2 linked regions of the Zea mays genome follow. The protein of the gene in region 1 interacts with the protein of each later gene in a pairwise test. Links are inferred from orthologs where the notes say so. Each region holds a gene or a part of one and is shown on either strand. Other genes may lie near its edges.

Region 1 (2,532 bases):
TTCTATCCTAAGGAAGCATTTACATCGATTGGAGCATCCTGGTGCTGCTGAACAGGATGTGGATTCTGAGAAAGAAGTTGATAATAAACTGGAGGATGAAATGCATGAGGACGAAGGTTGACCTTCTTTTATGATTACTCAATCAACTATGTTCCCAAGATAATGAAGTGATTTCTGATATATGTTCTATTTGTAGATGATAAACGATATTCACCTGAGCCTATGCCTCAGCAGACAGATAACGAATTTGAAGAGGCAGATGGATCCTTTTCTCCACAGCTAATGCATGGCAATGAAGATGAAGATGCAATTGATCCTGAAGAGGACAAAGCTGAGCTGGTAGAGTCCTGTTTTTTATTTCTTATTAAAATAGAAACGTGATTGGAACTGTAATAGTTATTTGCTGAAATGCAGTTAACTGAGTAGTTTAATTGTCAAGTACAGATCATTAGTAACCAGACTCCAATTTATGCAACAAAGTAGGCTAACCAACAATATTAGGACAAAAAGTTCTACTGATATTTTTTTCATTAGGACAACCTTTCAAACTGCTGCAGGCCTCCCTGCATCTCCTTCATTGATTCATTTAGCTCCCATCATTTTTACCCTAAGAGAGGGCTTAAATTTGAGGGCTTTCAAGTGTTCATATACAAACACAATGAGTGAATGTTTTTCTTACGAACAAGTTATTAGGATTCATTTTATGAGTTGATTAGATAATTAGGATGAGGGTGACAATTCATACTTAATGCTTTTATATAATAATTTCCAGGACCGAAAACGTGAAGCTGTAGTTTTGGAGCATCAAAGAAAAGTTCAGGAAGCCATGAAAACAAAGGCAAGAGTACCTGATGAGATGGAGATGAAGGCCATAAAAACAATGGGAGCTATGGAGGAAGGAGATGCAGTATTTGGTGCCGGTGCTGAAGTGAACCTTGATTCACAGGTTTGGATCATTTTTCTTTGATCCCATTGCATTTTTAGCATGGCAACATGACAATAGTTGTATATCTATGTTGTCCAATATTCTGCCTTTGATACTGAATTAGTGGGAGAGTTTTCAGAACTCAACAGGGATATGGCATAACTGTGACAATTTTTTTACTGTCGATCCAGAAGGATCGATGATTATCTGCACCATATATAACATACCATAAGCTACACCAAAATTTTCAAATAATCTGTTGACTCATGTAATTTATAGTTGAGTATATTTTGACAGTTTAATATAGGTCTAATGCCATATTTGAGTTTGATACCATGCATGGTAACAAGCTTACACACAAGAAGCATTACTTAGCAACTTTGGTGCATCGTACTGCATGTGAACTCAGCTAGTTTCTGATGGCATATTGCTTGTTCAATATACTTGCAGGTGTACTGGTGGCACGACAAGTATCGACCAAGAAAGCCCAAGTACTTCAATCGGGTGCACACTGGATATGAATGGAATAAATACAACCAGACTCATTATGACCATGATAACCCACCACCGAAAATTGTCCAAGGCTACAAGTTCAATATATTTTACCCTGATCTTGTGGACAAATCGAAAGCACCAACATACAGTATAGAGAAAGATGGAAGCGCCGGAGAGACTTGCTTCATAAGATTTCACGCTGGACCTCCATACGAGGATATTGTAAGCGTTTGTGCCTTACAATGTTTTGTTCTATTCTTCTGTGGCCTTATCCATGGGCGGTATTTTCACTTTGTTTTGTTCCACAGGCTTTCCGTATTGTGAACAAGGAGTGGGAATACTCACACAAGAAGGGGTTCAAGTGTACTTTTGAGCGTGGGATTCTCCATCTCTATTTCAACTTCAAGCGTTACCGTTACAGGCGCTGAAATGGCTCAAGAGGCAGGGGAAAACTGGATCGATTGGACTGGTGCGTCATGATTCTGCTGTATGCTGTGGCATGGATACCAGTCGAGTATGTATCTTCAGTATAATTAGGTACTATGCTAAATGGGAACACACTTTTTGGTTTTACTGACTGATTCCCCCCTTTTTTGAGGTTGTACAATAATACAGCATAGCAAGCTGATAGTTTTCTAACAAACTAGCATGTAGTCTGTGCTAACGCTAAGATCTCGGTAATGAGAGGGGTTGATGGCGGTGGCAACACGAGTAAGAGGAGGGGTGGCGGGGTCGCTGGAGAAGAGTGATAAGGGATGATTCAAATAATAGTCTATTGGATTTAAAAAGGGAGAGGAAGTCATCCACTAATTTAAACCGTTGGTTTTAATGGCTTTTAAGTTTATGTGTAATTTGTTTGTTAGATTTAGTGGAGGTTATAAGTGTGTGAGTGATTTGGTTGGATGATTTTTGCAAAGTTTAAACGGGTGGATCTTAAACCCAACCGACCATAGAGCGCTCCCACCCTTATATGCATCAATTGTGTTTAATTTCGATGCAATCATGGAAGCAAACCAAAAGCCATGGCTGGCCAGTGGCCATATCAACAATGAAAGGTTATGCTGCATCCAGGAACAATACTACAGAAACATCCTGTAATGTAGCCGATACAA
Region 2 (4,047 bases), on another chromosome or scaffold:
TTAAATATCCGAACTCGGATACAGTCATACAAATTAGATCTCAGCCATCTCAGATGGATCAAATTCGAATACAAACGAATAATATATGTACCATTTACATCCCTAGTAGGGGCGATACAGGAGCTTCGTTGGACCTGGGAGACTATATCTAACAACTTACTCATCCTCCGATCCTATTTTAAGCTCCACTATGCCAAATACAGGACAATGTTTTGCAATACTATTTATACGATCTGGTGGTCATAACCCAAGAGGCAAGCCTATCTCTAGGAATACTATTAACCTATTTTATTTTATTTTTTTATTTTAATCTTCACTCTATAAATAATACTATATACTCTATAAATAATACTATATAGAGTGAAAATAATATTTCACATGACCAGATGTAAGATGTGTTGAGCACAACATAAGTTCATCTCTAGCAAACCTTATAACTGTTTTATAATTTATTGCATTATTTATATAATAGAGGGCAACAACTAATATGCAATCAGACCATATGTGTAGCATGCAAGCGAGGCTACTGATATGTTAGATCACGATCCAACTATATATCACATTTAACACTTAGGTGCTGTTTGGTTCGCGAAATGTAACGTAAATAGTAATGGTAACGATTCACACTTAAATATCGGCGAAAGGGCCTCTAGCTGAGTTGGTTAGGTGGTCTGAGTAGCACTCCTCAGGTCCTATGTTCGACTCCTCGTGGGAGCGAATTTCAGGCTGTGGTTAAAAAAATCCCCTCGTCTGTCCCACTCCAAAGCACAGGTCTAAGGCTTAGCCCCGGTCGTGGTCGTTCTCACATGTACTTCGATGCCGCTGTGTATGGGTGGGGCAGGGGTTCGGGGGTTTTCTTGACCTGTGTGAGAAGGTCTTCTTCTTAACACAATGCTCGGGGGCTGTCTTACCCCCGCAGGTCAAGTTTTTTTTTAATAAATTTGAATAAGGCGATATTCATTTGTAGTGTAGTATCGATTACGGTTGGATTTAAACAAACATGATTTAACGTTATTAGTTACCTGTTACGTTACCAATACGTGAAACAAACGGCACCTTAAACCTTTCCACTACCAGCTCGTGCAGATTTATAGAAAACCTCATAATAAATCAGGATTATATTTACAGTTGGATCATAATCTAACGTACTAACACACTTGTATATAAGGTCTGATTGCATATTAATTGTTGTCGTAATAGAGTTTTAAAAAGAGAGTAATATAGGGAGTGATATAGAAGTTTGCTATCAATTTTTCTTCTCTCGTGGCTCCGACGCTCCTTTCTTTCTCGGAGGCGACAGCTCGAACTCGAATCCCTCATCCAGCCTGGCGCTGGCGTCGCCGGTCGCCGCCGCTCGATTGCCTCCGCCTGAATATCCCTTGCCCCATAAGGCCTGACCTTGAAAGCCTCGCCTCTTGATCCCGGCGGCGGCGGAGGGGAGGGCGATGCCGAAGCGGACGACACACACCTACTCGAGCGAGGACGCACTGCCGGAGGGCCCCGAGTCCGACCTTTTCGTATACTACTGCAAGCACTGCGCCTCACATGTCCTCATCACCGGTCAGCTCCTCCTCCCCCATTCGCTTAATTTTCTCAGATCTGGTAGTCTGCTAGGAATTAAGGGAGGTTGGGTCCTTAAATTCAAGCGGAAGATTCAGCTTTGAACTCTTCGAGGAGGGGATAGTTTTTATCTAGGAAAAAATTAGCTACCAGTTCTAGACCACACGACAACATTTCTCTGCATACTTCAATTTTCTTCGTTTGTATTCTAGCTGTGGAGGTACTGTAGCACTAGTCTAGTTAGTCTGCATCTAGTGTGTGTATTGCACAAATGTAATTGTACCAGCGAGTGAAGGGAACAAATCATGCAAATCTAATTTATAGCAGGCTGATTAATACTTTCATCAAATAGACTAAAAGCTAAAAGTAGACAAATTTTGTAAAACCTCATGTTCCAAAAACGTTTTTAAAGTTTATGCTTCATCATCAGCAGCAGATTTTTCTTAATTTGTGTCACTAGGAATTGCTACTGTTTTTTTAGGAAGTACTAGTATAAACAATTCGAGAATGATTTTTTTGTATATTCCATTCTGATATGTTTGTTCTGAAGATACCCAATTGCAGAAAATGCCCAAGCGAAAGACTGACAGAGCACATGTTTTAGACAAGGCTAAGCATCTTTCAAGGCTAAATGTTAAGGAGGCAGGAAAAGTAATGTTGAAACGGTATAATAATATCCCTCATACTCGTACTGGAGTTCTTCACCTCACTTATATTGTAACTATGTTCTGATTATCAAATCTAATGTCTTGTGTTTGTACGTTCTTCTGTAAATTCTAAATGCTGGTGAATATCTTAAGTTGTCAGATAGTATGTAACTAAGAAATTGGGTGGTATTTTGGCTACATGTGTGCACCACTTTCTTTTAGGAGAAACAAATCTTTTTGTGGCCTCATCAATTCAATATGTTTACAGATTTTTCAATAGTGTAGCAGGATTATTATACACTATGGGAATTATTTATGTAACATGATCTGCAATTATATGCATACTCCTTTGAAAGAACCCACCTCAGGCCTTGATTGGCTACACTCTAATTCACATGTATTGCGGTGGATTGGGATTAAAATCTAGTTAATTTCCATCCTAATCCACCTCATACATATGCATTGGGATGGATTGTAGTCCAGGTGTGCAGCCAAACAAGCCTTCAGGGTTATTATTCCAAAGTGACTACCATGTTATACTTCAGATTGTGGTGATTATGTAATTATATATTTCATGCAGTGGTGAAGGAAAGCTTGAAAAGCAGTTTCGCATGAGCTGTGTGGGATGTGACCTTTTTGTTTGTTACCGATCAGAAGAGGATCTGGAGGTTGCCCCTTTCATATACGTTATTGACGGAGCACTGAGTTCAGTTGCTGCTGAGACAAATCCACATGTATATACCGCATCAGCAGAAAGTCCTTAGCTAAATTCAACCTGCTTGTATTTTCTAGGTCTAATGATCGTAAAACTGCAGGATGCTCCTGTACCTCCTTGCATCACACAACTGGAAGGTGGACTTGTCCAAGTAGCCATTGAAGTGGAAGACCGGGCACAACGTTCAGCAATAACAAGTATGCATTTTTTAACAATGTAGTATGCTATCTTTTTTTTGAAACTACAACATGCAATGTTTATGATGAAAAGTTGTACATGGCTGCACTGACAGTTTCATGTGAAACATTGTAGATTGGACATTGGTGTGCACTATTTCTTTGAGTTCACTGGTGCATACAATGTGTTGACAGAATTCTGTGTGTTTTCAGGAGTGAATGCTGATGACGTTCGAGTAACGGTAGCTGCCCTTGCTGCTCGAGGGGAAGCTAACAGTGAGTTGCTAGAATTTATGGGCAAGGTGATTTTCTTCAATGACACTCTAATCTTATTGTGGTGTGGTATTGTGCACTTTGAGCCTTGTAAAAAGTGATATTCTGATTGCTCCAGCGTGCCATCACATGCAATAAGTGTAGGTTAAAATGTCTTTGAATCTATGCTCAAATTATACAAAGAAGTATGCCCTTGGTTATAAATTTATACAAATTTAGTTGGTAGTCTAAATTCTGAGGCAGCCATTTTCCAGTAGGGGGCTTATTTATAACTGGGAAGGTTTTAGCCTTTGACAATAACCAGTTTCGATTTTCAACCTTGTTATGTGAAGATGTCCATGTTGATGGCTTGTGAAAGCAGGTTCTTGGCCTAAGACTGACTCAGATGACCCTTCAAAGAGGATGGAATAACAAATCTAAGCTTCTAATTGTGAGTTCTTACTGCTAATAGTATCCAGTTCTGATGCACTGAACTGAATCCTATATTATTTTTCTTTCCCGCAATTTTTTTACATGTATCTACTATTGTTTCTCTTCTAAAAATATACTTGGGATTTTGCTCTAAGGTTGAGGATTTGTCTGCACGGCAAGTGTATGAGAAGCTCCTAGAAGCTGTACAACCTTAGGCACCCGAGCGATGGAGCAATGTGGTATGCAGTATGCGTCTGGATATTCT

What was found. The genes of interacting proteins can lie anywhere in the genome.
Region 2: the proteins of Cactin (region 1) and uncharacterized protein LOC100193457 interact in binary tests that used the Arabidopsis thaliana proteins (3 or more experiments, as listed by UniProt). The link is inferred for Zea mays from reciprocal best matches to the Arabidopsis thaliana genes AT1G03910 and AT5G63440.

What each region holds. Positions count from the first base shown.
Region 1 is NC_050096.1:296,052,742-296,055,273, forward strand, and holds the end of Cactin, read left to right. Parts: coding exon 1-116; intron 117-196; coding exon 197-339; intron 340-772; coding exon 773-946; intron 947-1,375; coding exon 1,376-1,642; intron 1,643-1,728; coding exon 1,729-1,848; 3' UTR 1,849-2,025; downstream 2,026-2,532. UniProt on the Arabidopsis thaliana protein: Plays a role in pre-mRNA splicing by facilitating excision of a subset of introns. Required for embryogenesis.
Region 2 is NC_050102.1:32,853,823-32,857,869, forward strand, and holds the start of uncharacterized protein LOC100193457, read left to right. Parts: upstream 1-1,245; 5' UTR 1,246-1,445; coding exon of another isoform or gene 1,446-1,545; coding exon 1,546-1,560; intron 1,561-2,110; coding exon of another isoform or gene 2,111-2,124; coding exon 2,125-2,225; intron 2,226-2,787; coding exon 2,788-2,941; intron 2,942-3,022; coding exon 3,023-3,119; intron 3,120-3,311; coding exon 3,312-3,400; intron 3,401-3,703; exon of another isoform or gene 3,704-3,732; coding exon 3,733-3,801; intron 3,802-3,937; coding exon 3,938-3,997; 3' UTR 3,998-4,047. UniProt on the Arabidopsis thaliana protein: May play a role during early embryonic development. Probably involved in pre-mRNA splicing.